Kluyveromyces lactis: one gene and its partners. The protein of the gene in region 1 binds, or shares a complex with, the protein of each later gene. Links are inferred from orthologs where the notes say so. Each region holds a gene or a part of one and is shown in the gene's direction. Other genes may lie near its edges. The genes, in order: MRPL38, MRPL11, MRPL33, MRPL17, MRP35, IMG1 and MRPL44.

What was found.
Region 2: MRPL38 (region 1) and MRPL11 share a complex: the UniProt entries of both Saccharomyces cerevisiae proteins name them as parts of the mitochondrial large ribosomal subunit. The link is inferred for Kluyveromyces lactis from reciprocal best matches to the Saccharomyces cerevisiae genes MRPL38 and MRPL11.
Region 3: MRPL38 (region 1) and MRPL33 share a complex: the UniProt entries of both Saccharomyces cerevisiae proteins name them as parts of the mitochondrial large ribosomal subunit. The link is inferred for Kluyveromyces lactis from reciprocal best matches to the Saccharomyces cerevisiae genes MRPL38 and MRPL33.
Region 4: MRPL38 (region 1) and MRPL17 share a complex: the UniProt entries of both Saccharomyces cerevisiae proteins name them as parts of the mitochondrial large ribosomal subunit. The link is inferred for Kluyveromyces lactis from reciprocal best matches to the Saccharomyces cerevisiae genes MRPL38 and MRPL17.
Region 5: MRPL38 (region 1) and MRP35 share a complex: the UniProt entries of both Saccharomyces cerevisiae proteins name them as parts of the mitochondrial large ribosomal subunit. The link is inferred for Kluyveromyces lactis from reciprocal best matches to the Saccharomyces cerevisiae genes MRPL38 and MRP35.
Region 6: MRPL38 (region 1) and IMG1 share a complex: the UniProt entries of both Saccharomyces cerevisiae proteins name them as parts of the mitochondrial large ribosomal subunit. The link is inferred for Kluyveromyces lactis from reciprocal best matches to the Saccharomyces cerevisiae genes MRPL38 and IMG1.
Region 7: MRPL38 (region 1) and MRPL44 share a complex: the UniProt entries of both Saccharomyces cerevisiae proteins name them as parts of the mitochondrial large ribosomal subunit. The link is inferred for Kluyveromyces lactis from reciprocal best matches to the Saccharomyces cerevisiae genes MRPL38 and MRPL44.

The regions. Positions count from the first base shown.
Region 1 is NC_006037.1:613,741-615,895, forward strand, and holds MRPL38 (mitochondrial 54S ribosomal protein uL14m), read left to right. Parts: upstream 1-1,238; coding exon 1,239-1,655; downstream 1,656-2,155. Other genes in the region: protein kinase NNK1, read left to right, coding at 1-777; putative serine/threonine protein kinase KKQ8, read right to left, coding at 1,946-2,155. UniProt on the Saccharomyces cerevisiae protein: Component of the mitochondrial ribosome (mitoribosome), a dedicated translation machinery responsible for the synthesis of mitochondrial genome-encoded proteins, including at least some of the essential transmembrane subunits of the mitochondrial respiratory chain.
Region 2 is NC_006037.1:292,829-295,496, reverse strand, and holds MRPL11 (mitochondrial 54S ribosomal protein uL10m), read left to right. Parts: upstream 1-1,430; coding exon 1,431-2,168; downstream 2,169-2,668. Other genes in the region: KLLA0_A03289g (putative nitronate monooxygenase), read left to right, coding at 1-672; TRM8 (tRNA (guanine46-N7)-methyltransferase), read left to right, coding at 2,482-2,668. UniProt on the Saccharomyces cerevisiae protein: Component of the mitochondrial ribosome (mitoribosome), a dedicated translation machinery responsible for the synthesis of mitochondrial genome-encoded proteins, including at least some of the essential transmembrane subunits of the mitochondrial respiratory chain.
Region 3 is NC_006039.1:553,262-555,412, forward strand, and holds MRPL33 (mitochondrial 54S ribosomal protein uL30m), read left to right. Parts: upstream 1-1,396; coding exon 1,397-1,651; downstream 1,652-2,151. Other genes in the region: NGL2 (RNA exonuclease), read right to left, coding at 1-782; KLLA0_C06292g (uncharacterized protein), read right to left, coding at 1,851-2,151. UniProt on the Saccharomyces cerevisiae protein: Component of the mitochondrial ribosome (mitoribosome), a dedicated translation machinery responsible for the synthesis of mitochondrial genome-encoded proteins, including at least some of the essential transmembrane subunits of the mitochondrial respiratory chain.
Region 4 is NC_006039.1:256,993-259,560, reverse strand, and holds MRPL17 (mitochondrial 54S ribosomal protein mL46), read left to right. Parts: upstream 1-1,276; coding exon 1,277-2,068; downstream 2,069-2,568. Other genes in the region: Nrd1 complex RNA-binding subunit, read left to right, coding at 1-959; TEX1 (Tex1p), read right to left, coding at 2,276-2,568. UniProt on the Saccharomyces cerevisiae protein: Component of the mitochondrial ribosome (mitoribosome), a dedicated translation machinery responsible for the synthesis of mitochondrial genome-encoded proteins, including at least some of the essential transmembrane subunits of the mitochondrial respiratory chain.
Region 5 is NC_006042.1:2,241,510-2,243,726, forward strand, and holds MRP35 (mitochondrial 54S ribosomal protein bL35m), read left to right. Parts: upstream 1-1,429; coding exon 1,430-1,717; downstream 1,718-2,217. Other genes in the region: protein channel TOM70, read left to right, coding at 1-759; NMA111 (Nma111p), read right to left, coding at 1,940-2,217. UniProt on the Saccharomyces cerevisiae protein: Component of the mitochondrial ribosome (mitoribosome), a dedicated translation machinery responsible for the synthesis of mitochondrial genome-encoded proteins, including at least some of the essential transmembrane subunits of the mitochondrial respiratory chain.
Region 6 is NC_006042.1:571,763-574,024, forward strand, and holds IMG1 (mitochondrial 54S ribosomal protein bL19m), read left to right. Parts: upstream 1-1,246; coding exon 1,247-1,762; downstream 1,763-2,262. Other genes in the region: BUD23 (18S rRNA (guanine1575-N7)-methyltransferase), read left to right, coding at 134-937. UniProt on the Saccharomyces cerevisiae protein: Component of the mitochondrial ribosome (mitoribosome), a dedicated translation machinery responsible for the synthesis of mitochondrial genome-encoded proteins, including at least some of the essential transmembrane subunits of the mitochondrial respiratory chain.
Region 7 is NC_006039.1:594,785-597,180, forward strand, and holds MRPL44 (mitochondrial 54S ribosomal protein mL53), read left to right. Parts: upstream 1-1,467; coding exon 1,468-1,525; intron 1,526-1,657; coding exon 1,658-1,896; downstream 1,897-2,396. Other genes in the region: DNA-directed RNA polymerase II subunit RPB7, read right to left, coding at 396-911; rRNA-processing protein RRP36, read left to right, coding at 2,245-2,396. UniProt on the Saccharomyces cerevisiae protein: Component of the mitochondrial ribosome (mitoribosome), a dedicated translation machinery responsible for the synthesis of mitochondrial genome-encoded proteins, including at least some of the essential transmembrane subunits of the mitochondrial respiratory chain.

The DNA.
Region 1 (2,155 bases):
TTCATTGCACATGGAGATATAAAGTTGGAAAATTGCCTTCTAGAAAAAAAGTCTGAGAACTACAAAGATTGGAAGCTTGTATTATGCGATTTTGGCATGAGTCACTTTTATGGCCATTTCAAAGATCAGATGGAAAATGAATCAATTCAACTGAAATCCCTATTTGATGGGTCTACTCTTCACTTGAAACGAAGACCCTCAATTCCAAGATCTTCCTCTTCAACGAATAATTCTTCTTTACGGTTGAAATCAAGGTTAAGACAAATAGTGAACGATAAAAAATTAATTCATGATGATACGACTTTGGGTATTCACTCCGTACCAAAGAGCACTCGTTCTAACCTAACCAGCTCGTTGAACCAAAAAACAGACATTACATTAACACCTAACAAAGATTTGCATGAACATATCAACGATGACATGAGCAGAATTGGCTCTTTACCATACGCTGCTCCGGAGTTACTAGAACCCAACCCTCCTCCCATTGGACCAAGCGCTGATATATGGGCCATTGGTGTTTTAATTTTCACCATGCTTACCGGCAAATTACCTTTTAAACATGAATACGAGCCCAGACTTCGTGCAATAATAACTTCAGGTAAATATGATAAAACGACACTACGCCAAGTTTGTAACTGTGATATGAACTCGAACTTGGGTGTAGATGACCAGGTGGAATTCCAAGGTCTATTCAACGCAGTGAAGGGCTGCTTAACGAAAGACTTAACCCGGAGATGGGAACTTGATATGGTGAAAGTAGCTCTGGGTAAGCATTGAAACTAATCCTAAACTAACAAAATATTTTCTACTATTCTGTCCTTGTCAGTTATAACCCTTAATTTTTAATTCAACAAGCATACCAATAGCATTAATAGTAACGCATACTGTTACATTGACCTTTTTTCTGATGTTTTACCATTCTCAACAGCATAATACTTAATAATTTTACTGAAGTATATAACGATAACTAATGAAAACACCAGCTGTCTTAACAATGACGGCGTTGTAAGCACTTTATTTGTATGTAGTAAGCGTTGATAATGGCGTTGATTAGCCAATAATAAATCAATCACGTGATATACATCAATTATGGGTTAAGAAAAAATTTGATGAAACCAGACATAGAAAGCTTTAATCCTTTCTCTAACGATAGTCCAGGAAGAAAAGCTGTGCTTTCCCGATCAGTAGCAGCCTGCAGCACACGACCTAACTGAAGTTCACACTGTGACTGTTATAACATGATTTATTTGAAGTCTTTTTTGAAAGTCATTGACAACTCAGGTGCTCAAATTGCCGAATGTATCAAAGTACTTGGAAAAGGTTCGCCAAAATCTCCAGGTAGAATAGGTGACAAAATCGTCTGTGTGGTGAAGAAGGCTAAACCATTAACACAAACTATTACTGGGCAATCCAATAACAACAGAGTGAAGAAAGGTGATATTGTACACGCTGTGGTGGTACGTACCAAGCAAAGAAATATGATACGTCCTGATGGATCAACAATTGCGTTCGGTGACAATGCTTGTGTATTAATCAACAAGAATAATGGTGAACCTCTAGGGTCAAGAATTATGGGTAACGATGGTGTTGTCGGCAGAGAACTAAGGGAAAAGGGCTACAACAAGATTTGCTCTCTAGCAAGTAAAGTTTTGTAAATATGTTTCACCACTGGTAAATATCGATTACGACTGCGCAGGGCTTTTAGAATCATGTATATAGATAATAAAAAATAGAAAATATCGTTAGTAAAGTTTATGAAAATGCCATGATAAATATGATGGATACGCGACTACCAACTTATTGCTCATTGACAGTGATATCAATATTTTATAAGTGTTTCAAAGAGATGTATGTTTATCTTAAATATAGATAAAAATGATGCGAAAGAAACTAATCTAAATCTGCCAAAGTAGCAAGGCCTTCAGCTATGAAACAAATTTTGGTGTTACACCGGCCTTGGTGGATATGTAACGCAGCATTTTGTCCTCTTCATCCACGAACTTTTTAGCAATGAATCCACCGTTATCCTTTTATTCGGATCAACTTGGAAGATATGATAAAGTGCAGCAGTTCTGTACCGGTTCATACCTGGAGACACATGTTTCATTTCGTCAAATACATAATATTGTCCATGTTTTTCCATATCCTCGAGGAA
Region 2 (2,668 bases), about 320 kb from region 1:
CATTTCGGAGTGCCATCTGCGAGCACTTTAAAATCATTGAAGCAAGCGGGAGTTGTCACGATGGCAAGTGTGACTCAATTAAGTGAGGCTGAATTGGCTATTGGGCACGGGATAGATATCCTAATCGCTCAAGGTGTCGAAGCGGGTGGTCATCGGGGAATGTTTAACGCATCATTAGATCCGGCAATATCCACGAGAGATTTGGTGAAATTACTAAAAGCAAAGTTGGGCACAACTATTCCTATAGTAGCAGCAGGAGGAATAATGTCTGGTCAAGATATTAAAGGAATGATGGAAGTAGGTGCCAGTGGTGCTCAATTAGGAACCGCATTTGTCCAATGCAAAGAATCGGCTGCGTCAGAAAATTACAGGAAATTATTATTTGACAAAACAAGAAATGACATAACTCAAATCACAAGCAGCATATCAGGTCGTCCGGCGCGAGCTTTGTTGAATAGTTGGCACACTGAGGTGGATATTCCAACTAGAGTGATACATCCAGGGTATCCATTTACATACGATGTGGGGAAGCAGTTAAATGCCGTGTCTATTCCAGATCATGATGGTACCGCAAATTCTTTCGCAGCACATTGGGCAGGATCCAATGTCAGCCGTATCCGTGATATGGATGCGAGACAACTAATGCAAACCCTTGTCGATGAGATGAGATAATTTTCCAGACCGTTACAGCACAGAGCTATGCTGTTTCAAATGTACGAAAATCCCGAATAGCGACAAATTCCACAATGGAACGATGAAGTTACACTAATTGTGCATTATTCTCGTCAGTTACATGACTGCATTTATTTTTTCAATGACGAAGTAGAGTTGCATCTCTTCACAATTTCACTACGACCCTATAAATCCCGGACTACCTTTTGTAAGGAAGAAATCTAATCTTTCGACATCCCTCCTAGCTTGGACAGGAGACGTCTATAACGGATTACATTATTTAAGCATGATGTTGACGATAGCAATGACAGTTTGCAGTTCGAAAAGAAGAGCAGAACTCACCAATTCCTCTATCATTTTAATTTGAACAGTCACGTGAATCGACCTTTGCCTCATTCGGGATTATATATACTATAAAGAAGATATATAAAAAATTACCAATATACATTTTTTGCTGCCATGGAAAATATACGAGAAAGTCTTCATTCCCTTCTCCATTGTTGATACCGATTTTGGCACTCATACCACTTCCAATTACCATTCATACCTTCTTACATTGAATCTAACTATGCCTCTCGTCGGTTTATTGTACCAAGTATTGAAATTCGACGATACTGAAAAATCTGAAAAAAAATGAAAAATCTGAAAAATCACTGAAGATTGATATATTGTAGTGAAGAGATATATTGGTGGGAATGAATTCGCTTAAAGTGATTCGAATCCACAGCTCAGGTCATCACCAACCACTCAAAATAGCCATGTTGTCACTTTTGTTAAGAAGCCCAGTGGTGGTATCCCGTGTCTCATATGCTTCTCCGTTTTTGGTTAGGAGGTTTGCCTCTACGCAAATTGAGAGAACTGTCTCGGATGCAGTTAGAAGAACAGTAAAGCCTTTGGACTCTCGTAAGACTTTCCTAATCGACTCTTACAAAAACCTGATGGAAACCAGTCCGGTAATGTTGTTTTGTCATCATAACAATTTGATGAAAGGGGAGAATGCACACTTCAGAGAAGAAATTAATAAGGTAGGAGGCAAGTTAACAATCTTGAGAAACAATTTGTTCCAAGTATACTTGAGAAACTCACGCAAAAATGACCCAGCTGCTCCAGCGAAACGTTCAGAACAAGACTGGAAGCATCCTTTACTGCCCTTGTTCAAAGGTCCTACGGCAGCAATTTCGTTCCCAGAGACTGATCCGGCAAAGGTAAAAAAAGTCATGAAATTATTGGAAAAAGCCCAAGACAAGTTATTCGTTATTGGCGCCAAAGTTGAAAATGATGCGTACGATTTGAGACAATTGGATTCTTTCAAGGATCTACCAACAAAAAGTCAATTACAATCAGAATTACTGGGACTATTGCACGTCTTGAGCGGTGCTGGTTTAGTTCAAACTTTAGAAGCTGGCTCAAACATGTTGTACCTAACTCTAAAGTCTCACGAAGATAATATTAACCCAGATAAGCAGAAAAACGAGAATGACAGCGAAGGAAATTAAAGTCTTTTGCCCCATCATGAAATGTAATATAAATCATTTTTACGTATCGATGTACTTAAATAAACCCATCACATATTAATATAAACTCCTGTACATATTCTTTGCACGTGACTTTTTTTGATCTCATTTGTATATTGTAAAGAAATAAAAAGTTTTTGAACATGCACTGAATCAATTGAGTCGAGAAAACCTAGGCGATGAGGTTACAATTTTTCAAAGCAGTTACTTCCACCAACCGTTAATGTGTGTTGAATAAACATAATTGAATTCTAACAGTGACTCAAATTTCCTATAACTGCCTTTGTTAGAAAATATGAGTTTTAGTACTAGACGCCAGGCGTATCGTGCTGAGAAGCAAGATCATCGCAAAGAATTGAAACATGTCAAGATCGATGAATCTGTGATTGAAAAGGTGGATAAACTATCTTTACCTAAAAAAAAGTTTTACAGACAAAGAGCACATTCGAATCCATTCAGTGATCATCAGTTGGAGTATCCAA
Region 3 (2,151 bases), on another chromosome or scaffold:
ATTATACCACTGACTTTGGTGTCTGGATATTTTTCTAGCACTTTCTTTTTAAACTTCAAAGAAAGCAACATGCCAACATTTTTGGTAGTTGTTCTTGGTTCAATGGCACCTGTTGTTTCTTTGTCGTAGTCAATTAACATCTTATCTGTCATATCAAATAGATCTTCTTTCCAAGCAATTAATACTCCGTGGTTTTTGGTAGGATTAAAATGGAATTGACACATGTAACCTAGTTTTGTGAACTCCATTTTCCAGAAAGACTTGTATTGAACCGTGTCAATTTCTTGCAAACACAGTACGTCAACATTGTAATATTTGAATTCATTGAGTAAAACTTGAGATCTTTTAAACCATTTAACAGCATTTCCGCTCGTAGGAAACAGTGTTCTTCTAATCAAAGCTTGGGCAAGACAATTATACGTCATTATACTGATTGGACATACCTCTCTCGTCGATTGGCCTGATGAATCTCGAGGAACAGCTAACATCGGCCTTTTGATAAATCTAAGGTCTGCGGGCAATTTTGGATCTATACCTTGAGCAATAAGAGCCTCTTTTTTTGCTATTTTCGCAGCTTCTCTCTTAGCTCGCATCTCAGCGATATACTCTGGAGTGATCTCATTCAAGGCCTTGCCTTTTTTCTTACTTTTCTTGTCCTTTACTTTATTCTTACCTTCTACCTTCAACTGGTCCATCCCATCAGTAATCGATAGCTTTTTTGCTTGTTCCACAAGCTCTTTTGGAACGTCTTTGACGCCGGTGTCTTGCGTACTACCAGCCATATTGGCTCAAATTATTACTTCTACTTTGCAGTGTATAGTGGCGATATAAACCTTAGAGAGATCTAACCAACCATGGCGTTAAGAGCTTGTTAATATGATATATATATATATTATTCAATCGGGCATAAATATTGGAAAAAAAGAAATGACATATATATATATATATATATACATAACCAAGCAAATGCCCCTCCTAAGACAATTTCAATGCAACTTCATATTCAGGAAGAAATATTCAAACAGCGAGATATAATCTTGAGATCTTTATATGCAATTCCTGGTTCTTTCTCAGTAGGTAGCACTTTCCTGCGACGGTTTGTGAGAAGTGCCCAAATGACATACGCGATGAGCTGCTAGACAATATACATCACATGATATCACTTTATACGTTTTGATGCTATTTGAAAAATCAATGTACGTTGGCTATTAATGGTTTGAATACCCAGTTAATCTCTTCGATAATGATGCACAAGATCTCTTAAAAGAGCGTTTTTTTTTGACATAGTTCTCTATATTGTCAACGAAACTTACGACCGAGGAAATTATACTTCATTACTGGTATTAGCGAACGGTTTCTAAAAGCATAGCTATCATAATAATTTTCAAAGATAGCCATGGTTTTCTACAGAATTACATTACAGAGGTCAGTCATTGGTACTCCACAGAAGACTAGGGCAGTGGTCAAGAGTTTAGGACTCGGAAAAAGAGGATCTGTCGCATATCAACCAGCTACACCATCTATTGCAGGTGCTGTCGCTCAGATAAAGGAGCTTGTGAGCGTTGAGCTTGCCGATAAAGCTTTAAGTAAGGCAGAACAGCGTGAGCTAAGAAAATCAAATCCTGGATTTACTGTCGAAAAGAGAGTATAGAAAGGATCATACCAGACAATATAACAAACAAAGCAATGTACCAGAAACATTTAACAGAGAAGAAACTGGGCTCACAATGAACATCTTCTGTTTTACATAAAGAAAAGGATATTAGGATTTTCATGTATATAGAGATCAAAGAAATATTAATCTTATTCTAATGAGGTATTTGAGAGTATCATATACCAAACGTCTTTATTTAGAAGACACCGGTGACTTCTCTGGTGAGAATATTCCTAGGCTGTTTCACGTATTCGTCGTCACCATCTTCACCATATTCATCATCGTCAAATGCCACCGAGAACGAATCTACAATTCTGAAGATATCATTTTTATTCATAGCTTTTCCATCAAAACTTAGTTCTATACTGTCATTTGCCGAAAAGAATTGATTTTCTTGAGCCAGCAATTGATCAACTCTATTGTACAAATGTTTTGTTTTAGGTCTTTGTGGTAACCTTTGAACACTCATATTCTGGGAGATATATTTGCTCAAAACA
Region 4 (2,568 bases), on another chromosome or scaffold:
AACAACAACAACAACAACAACAACAGCAGCAGTCAATTAATGGTCAACAAGGAAATAACCATCATTTGTACCCAGATGAGCAGAATGTTCCCTCAAACCCTCATTTTAGGCCAAAACCGGTATCCTTTGATCCAACTGTGCCAAGGGACCACGTAAAAGTATATTCCAGAACCCTTTTCGTTGGTGGTGTCCCACAAAATTTCAAAGAACATGATATTGCAAGAATGTTAAGACAATTCGGTGAGGTTCAGAGTGTTATTTTGAATAATGCCCGTAAGCACGCCTTTGTGAAAGTCTATTCAAGAGCAGAAGCGGAGAGGATCATGGCGCATTTCACTGGTGGTGGCAATCCGACACATGGTTTGAGAATCCGTTGGGCCGTTGGTTTCGGTCCTAGAGACTGTTGTGACTATCAATATGGATATTCAATCATCCCATTGGCCAGGCTAACCGAAATTGACTTCAAATGGTCACAGTCCGCGGAATGGGGTGGTACTGGTGGTCAACCAATCCAAACAAACATGGTTTATGAGGAGCCCGATATTATTGTTGGTGAAGGTGTTTCATCAAAAGCGATTTCGCAAAAGATGCCAACTGATAAAGGTGTTTTGGGTCCCAAGTCTGGTAAAGTTGGTCAAGCTACTGCTGTCTCTCAAACACCTATCCCCTACAGTAATATATCTCCTCCTCCTCCTCCGGTTCAAACATCACAAATACCGAACGTTCCTCAAATCCAACAACAGTATTATAACCAGCCATTGTATCAGCAGCCTCCATCAATGGTATATGGTCAAAATCAACTGCTGGGATCGGCATCATCTGCGCAGCAGCAGCAGCAGCAGCAATCGCATCAGTCTACTCAACCTTCGGGCCAAAAATCTCCTCAACCCCCACAAAATTTCGATCCAACTGCGCAATTAAACACATTGATGAATATTTTGAACCAAACGCCAAAATAATGCTTATATAAATGCACTTAAATAATTTTCTGTATCTGATAGCCTTTATGCATATGCAATTCACTCACTACTTTGTTCTATTAGTGACACCACTTGGAAAGTTATCAAATCCGTATATCGTGATCGATTATTTCATATTGAAAAATTTTGGAATAGTAGGCATGAGAGGATGTTCAAACAATTTGAAAAATTATTGGAACATCAGCATCATGTTGAAATAGTGCCGCTTATCAGAATTGGGAAGCATATTCACCAGCTGTCAATCATCGTGTATATTCAGTCAGCAACCCTCTTCATCGACACAATTATAAATAAAAATGTCTGTGAAAGCAGCAGCAAGCTCGATTCCCAAGGCAGTAAAGGCAGGTTTGGTACTTTCTCGTGTTCCAATCGTCACTCCAGAATTGAATGCACTAGAGAACAAGTACTACCAATACCAGGCAGAACTGGAAAGAAGACTAATGTGGACATTTCCATCTTATTTCTATTTCAAAAAAGGTACTTTGGCAGAGCGTCGTTTCCAGTCTGTACAGAAAGGTGTGATTAGCAAGCAGCCTGGTGTATGGTTCCCTAAAGGAGTGCCAGACGTCAGACATAACAGAGAAAGAAGTCAAAAGCAAGATATTATGCTACCAAGAGAGGCTTCAGAAGGTTCAAACAAGTCTGATGTCTCAAGGCCAATTGTTCCTAATTCCAGAACTACAAAGGCAGACGAAAATAACGATATTACTAGTTTAGACAGAAAATTGGACAGAACTCTGCATTTGCTTGTGAAGGATGACAAGGGAAGCTGGGTTCTTCCAAGTTTCCCGGTTGATATTGAAGCTAAGGAAGGAAAGAAAGCTTTACATGAGACCGCTGAAGTGGGATTAAGAAAAATCGGCGGAGAAGATATTAATACATGGACTGTGTCGAATACTCCAGCAGGTGTTCTACAATCTGAAAAAGATCTCCAGTTTTTGATCAAATCGCATATCATAGCAGGTGAATTCAAGTTAAAGGATGAAAAGTCAATCAAAGAATTTGCATGGTTGACAAAAGATGAAATCAAGAAAGCTGTTGACGAGAGATATTTCAATAGTATACAATATGTTCTTGCTGAGAATTAACATATTATCATCAAACACAGAAAGTATTGGCATGATTTAATCACTATATATATATGTAAACCCTCCTGTAAATACTGCTTCGGATAGAAATTCCAACCCGTATCGAACACTAAAAGATAACAATCATATACATATTGCTGAACTCTGATTGATTTTAAGATTGGAACATTATATACTTGTAAGAATGCTAATTAACTTTTAAATCTATCACCATCTATCATTTGGCTTTCTAAAAGAAGACCCTGTGTTGGAGCGACCAAACGACTTCTCACTGAATTTATCAGCATCTCTCTTGTATGGTTGTTTGCGCAGCTCTTTATCCCTCTTCCCGCGCTGTGGTGTGTCTCTTTGAGTTCTACTGCTCCGATCGGTGCTTTTCTTAACAAAATCATTTCGTTTACGATCATCGGTCGATACCATAGTTTTCGGTCTGCCTGAACGTAAATCAACCATTGTCATTTTATCAAGAGCACCAGTGGTGTAAAATATTAAGCACGACT
Region 5 (2,217 bases), on another chromosome or scaffold:
TACATCTACATGGCTTTGATTATGGCTGACAAGGGTGAAGCCAACCAATACAAGGAATACTTTGACAAAGCTTTAGAATTAGATCCAAACTGCTCTGCTGTTTACTATCATCGCGGTCAAATGCATTTTGTTGTTGAAAACTTCAAAGAAGCTGGTGCCGATTTCGATAAGGCTAAGGAATTAAATCCAGAAAACATTTTTGCCTACATCCAATGTGCTTGCTTGGCTTTCCGTGACGATAGATTTGATGATTGTGAAACTTTGTTCAGCGAAGCCAGAAGAAAGTTCCCAACTGCTCCAGAAGTTCCAAACTTTTATGCCGAAATTTTGGCTGCTAAGAACTCTCTAGATGCTGCCATCAAGCAATACGATATTGCCATCAAGTTGGAAGATGCTTTACCAGGTATTCACGTCGGTATTGCTCCAATGATTGGTAAGGCCACTGCTTTGATTAGAAACCCAACCGTTGAAAACTTCGTTGAAGCTTCCGAATTATTTGAAGAAGCTTGTAAGATCGATCCAAGATCCGAACAAGCCAAGATCGGTCTTGCTCAACTAAAATTGCAACAAGAAGAAATTGATGATGCCATTCAATTGTTCGAAGATGCTGCCGATCTCTCAAGATCTTTCGATGAAAAACTACAAGCTACTACTTTCGCTGAGGCTACCAAGGTCCAGAAAAAGATCAGAGCTGATCCATTCATTAAGGGTAAGATCGACGAAGCTATTGCAGCCTACCGTGCTCAAGGTCTCGCGTAAATTAGCATGATATTCACGAATGAATTTAATTCATTTCAATATGAGTAAAGCTACAATAGCTCATTGTTTTTGTCTCACCTTAATGACCATAATGGCAACATACCATGCAACATCTAAACGAATGAATTACCAAGAAAGTTATGATTTTACAAACAAAAAGTTGTAGCATTTCACCCAAGTTATTTATGACTCGTAAGCAGCGTGAACTGTGTTAATCGTAAACGACAAGATCTCAACATTACAACGTGAAGAATAAGAAATAGTTATCAATTCTTCACAAAAACAAGACAAAAAGAAACACAGAAGAACAAGAATACGAGAACAACGCTTTTCAATAACAGCTCATTGCAAAATATGTGCTCCTAAATACCCCTGGTTCAAAAACATCATCTTCTACCATTTTGCTAGAAACAAATACGTCTTTCTGTATATACATGTATCTCCCCCATCTCACAATTTAATCAAATTGTAATTTTAAACACTTCGATAGTATATCACTACATACGTTTCAACATAAATGACATTTTTTGTTTTCTCTGAAAGAAGTGTATGTAATAAAAGTTTCTTGTGAGATTATGGCAAGGTACTGAGTGAAAGTGAGCTACAATTCAAGTACTTCATTGTTAACGGACTATAGCAGGATTTACCCCACCAGCGAACTACTTCAAATATGCTATCTTCTATCTTTGGTTCGATGATGAACTTTTCCGCTAGAACTGGACTTCTGGGATCTAAAACTAATGTTTCATCGCTCATCCTCACCAGAAACTTGATGAAAACACACAAAGGTGCCGCAAAAAGATGGAGAAAAACAGCCAATAGCTTCAAGAGGGGCAAGGCTGGAAGAAATCATGGTAATGCTGGATGGAGTAGGAACTCCCTTAAATCATTATCTGGCAGGTCATTAGCAGACTCCACACATATGCATCGTTTAAAGAGATTGCTTCCATACCATTAAGAGATGAAAGGCAATTAAAATAAGATATCGTTTCGATTTCAATCCTGTACATATAACAATGGCATCCCCATAATGAATGACACACCATTTCTTACCATGATTTTCAGTAAAGCATGTCATGAAAAATCAGCGGGTTACTATAATGGATAATTATCATTAATAAATACCTATATACAATTTGCAAACAACGGTAAAAAATGATTAATCATATATATAGTCAAATTAAGTCTCCGAGATATCATTCTCGATCCAACTACCTGTTTTTGGATTCTTTCTTAATTCTACCGTTGGGAAGTAGTGATAGTTTGTCTTTAAGGAAATGGCAAACGGAACATCGTCAAATGTCATTAAGCGTAACTTGCAGTATGTATTATCTGGGATTTCTTTAACAACCTTCAAGAATGTATCCAAATCAGGTGTTGATTGGTCATTGACGTGTGTGATAAAGTTGGTCACTTCTATTCCGTACTGTAACGCCAAAGAAGATGTACCACGAGAAA
Region 6 (2,262 bases), on another chromosome or scaffold:
TCTCGGTCATCGCCAAACATTTACGAACTAACAATGGCTACTTGAGCAAGCTGTTTGCATTGATATGCTCTGTTAATCAACTGACGGGAATAAAGTATAATAGGATAACAATTACAAGAAGTTTGAGATCGAAATGTCACGTCCAGAAGATTTGGCACCACCAGAAGTGTTTTACAATGACAGTGAATCTAAGAAGTATAGTGGCTCCACAAGAGTGCAACATATTCAAGCTAAAATGACACTTCGGGCCTTAGAACTTCTCAACCTGCCACATACATCATATATCTTGGATATTGGGTGTGGGTCTGGTTTAAGTGGTGAAATCATCACTGAAGAAGGACATATATGGTGTGGATTAGACATTTCTCCTAGTATGTTAGCTGAAGCGCTAGAAAGAGAAGTTGAAGGTGATCTTATGTTACACGATATAGGTCAAGGTATTCCATTTAGAGCAGGTGTATTTGATGCGGCAATTAGTATATCTGTGATTCAATGGTTATGTAATGCGGACACATCGTACAACGATCCAAAGAGAAGGCTCATGAGGTTCTTCAATACACTATTTGCTAGTTTGAAGAAAGGAGGAAAATTTGTAGCACAATTCTATCCAAAGAATGATGATCAAATAGACCAAATCTTGGGAGCAGCAAAAGTAGCTGGATTCTCTGGTGGCCTTGTCATTGATGATCCCGAGTCCAAAAAGAACAAGAAGTACTACTTGGTATTAAGCTCCGGATCTACAGAACAGAATGAACAAGTCAACTTGGATGGTGTTAAGATGGATGCAGATCTAATGGTAAAGAGAGAGCGTAAAAAGAAACTAGTTGAATCAAGTAAGGATTACATCAACAGAAAGAAGGAGGTGATGAAAAAAAGAGGTAGAAAGGTAGCTCTCGACTCGAAGTTTACGGGTAGAAAGAGAAGACCTAGGTTTTAGTATGGTCTTGCATATATAGAATTAGTAGATACGCACTTAATACAATCAGCAAACATGGACTGAAACGTTATCATTCATTCACCATTTTCCGTGTCTATTGCATCTGCCATGATCAAAACGTTTAAAATGATCATCAAACCTATGTTGTAGTTTTCCATAGAAAGAACATTCGAAAATTTTGGTTAAAAAAGATGGAAACATAAGTACCTAAGAGTTAAGAAAGCACTGAAGCGCAGTTTATATTTGAGTTTAAGCCTTTACTACCCGTCAGATCAAGTTCCCATTCCAAAACTATATTAGTCCCATACAATGTTAAAGAGACTACTACCTACCGTTATCAGACAATCTGTTAGAAGTTATCAACTTCCAGCTAAGAGTGGAAGAAAGATTATTCCAGTTTACCCACCAGTTGAAAGAATATCCTCCCCATTAGTAGTGAAGACTCTAGCTGATCATGATCTAAAACAACTTGACCCAACTGGTGTAAAAACAGAGATGGTTTCAAAGAAAAACCCAAATCGTCTACGTGCAGGTGATGTTCTTCGTGTAGTTTACGATTCCAAGAAATGCAACTACGATAGTTTTACTGGATATGTGCTATCGGTAGACCGTAAGCCAATAGTACAAGACACATCCATTCTATTAAGAGATTATATTTATAAAACCTGTGTGGAAATGAGAGTGCCAATCTTCTCACCATTGGTAGAGAGAATTGATTTGATTAGAAGAGCGGATGGTAAGAGACGCAGAAGTAAACATTATTACATCAGAAACACCAGATTGGATGTCGGAGATTTGGAAGCAAGTATGAGAAAGAAGAAATGAGCACATTCACACTATCAAACACTTGCTGAATTTTCATAAAATGAAACATGTACATAGAAGCAATTCAAACATATAGTAAGTAATGCTCGATATCAATGCAAACCCAAAGACAAGGAAGATTCAAAGTTGAAAGAGCTCCAGAGTTGAACCATAATGCAAGGTACTCTATGCAGGTCCAGCTTCTCTAGGTAAAGTTATTTGTATCATTAGCATGTCGGGTGGATATATAATTGTATAATCTGTAAAATAAAAAGGCGGATTATGCTAGTCCTTATACCTCATCAAGTGCATCCAATAAGAAAGGAAAATCATGAGAAAGGATAAGCATAAGAAAGGATTTGTACGCTCTATCTAAAACAAAGCTGCATTGAGTGAGCAAGTTGCTCTATTAGAAATGAAAAGATTACAAGCAATTTTGGTCCGCATTTTTGATAATTTATGAAGGTTCTTGATTGGTTCAAAAAAGTAGTGGTATAATGTTATGAAAGCCGTACCAGCCG
Region 7 (2,396 bases), on another chromosome or scaffold:
AAATGCAATTCAACGAGGGATTCTTGTTATTATTTTTATTTTATTTTATTTTATTTGTGATATCTTTAAGATAGAATCATTGACACAAATCGTCATATGTCAATTGATTCATGTGAAAGTTCTCAACAATGTATATGCTTTTAACAGATATTTTTGTAACAGTTTGTGCTTGGTACAATCAAAAAATTAATGTGACGCTATTATTAATTGCTGAGAAAAAGAAAGTACATTGACCATGCTGCTTGTTAAATTAGTTTGTTCTTTTATATTATACAAAATGCTCACAAATGAAGCAGATAACAATGATGACCGGAATTTGGAAATTTATGTCCAAAGCTATATATAGTCATAGTTGCGATTAGGTGAAAAATGTGAAAGGTTCTAGGAAAGAAATATCATATCACCCCCAAATAATCTTCCTTGATACTGCCAATGGCGTAAATAGAGTTGACTTCCGATCTTGCACCGACGATTTTTAATCTTACTCTAGATCCTTTAGTAATAATTTGTTCTGATGATTGATATGATGGAGGATTGGAACCACTGTTGAAAGTCAAATCTTCTGGCATCAAAAAAGGGGAAACGAAGACAGACAAAGGTCCAACTTCCACTTCAAAACCTAAGTTTGTACAACTAGATACGATACCATCAAGAACTTCTCCCTTGAAAGGTTTCCATACCACAGCTCTATATTTAACAGTAAACTCTGCTGACCCGTCCGTAGGCAAAATCCGTCCACGTTCAATCTCGATATTTTCACAGTCTAAAACACATAGGATATATCCGAATTTACCGGTACATGTTCCTTCCACCTCTTGTAGTAGCTTTGTCATCAAATATCTCTTCATCTGAGGTCCAAAGAATGATGGATGAAGCGTTATATTCAACGACAAATCTTTGAAGAAAAACATGGCTCTGTAGTTTATTTCGCTTCTATAAAAAAGATACTGGTCCTTCAGGCAATAAGATCAAGTTAAAGTATAGTTACAATCAAACTGAAAGTCCAATTCGAATATGAATAGTTCCTTTTTAAAAAGCTTGCCAATAGATTCACCGTATCAACGGCTGTTACAATTGAATAAACGAATGAAAAACAACCCGCACTTAGTTCAACCTGCAAACAATTAAAGGCGAGTACCTTATATCGACCTTAAATAACAATCCAAGGATCCTAAAAACCGATTGTGCTAAAAGCAGTCTTGCTTCATTTGCAAATATTGAAGTTGTTCATTTTGCAATTGGATGTTTCTTTCAATATTTTTCATTTCGTCAAACATCGCCCAAAAACATTCAAAAACTATCCGGGTAATAGTATAGCCTCTGATGAGATCGCTATTACCATTTAAACAGTTTTAGGCAAAAAGCTAGAGATGAATACAGCTGTGAAGTATGTTTTTGGATGAGGACGTCTCATCAGAGTAATACTTGGGAGTTTGTCAGCTGTTGTCAAGAGAACTATAGAGCAACATGATCACGAAATATTTTACTAAGGCAGTTGTGAAATTCAATCCATTAGGAAAGGAAGGTATGTCTTCAAAGAAAGAGAAATCATTAGTTGGACATCATTTAAAACTACCGAACACCATTACTAACATAATATGATTTACGGTTGTTTTACTATTAAAACATCAATCGTCTCATTTATCTTCATCTACAGCCAAGACAGCTAGGTTGTTCTTAAGTGCTATTCCTCCTTCACAAAGAACAAGTGGATTACAATTGCAAAACGAAGTTTTGGTTTCTGGCTCTAATAAGAAACCTACAGTGAAAGTTACTTTCAAAGATAAAACTGAATTGGAAGCTGATCCAAGCAGTATGAACTTCATGGAACTAGGGAACTACTTTGATCGTCATTCAAGAAAATTGGCCCTAAAGGAAAGTATTGAATCTCAATGATTTCTTGTGACGAGATACCCATCACAAAATTCATGTATATATAACAATAAGTAAAAGAAATTTAATGTAGTATAAGATATAAAACACTACAATGCTTCAGTGGATTAAATTGAGTCAACGCTGTTGGTATGATCACAGACCTTATTATTTGAAGCTCCCTTCCTGTCCATTATTCATTTACATCGCCTGAATAGGAATTTCAAGTTTCTTCCAGATATTGAAAATTTTATACGGTGCCAATGCAGAAGCGATGAGCTAAACTTAAAATCAAGAAGAACTTCTATGTAGAAGCGACTGATAACTAACCTGTAAGCAGCCACGGCCACAAAAACTACCAGTAATATACAAATGTCATTTTACTTCAAGAATATCAAGCCAGATCTTCATTCAGGAAACGAAGATGAGGAAGATGACATAGCATCAATCATAAGAATAAACGATACAAGTGATGCAGAAGGTTCACAAAGCGAAGATGAGCTAAAGACACTCTCATTTGGATC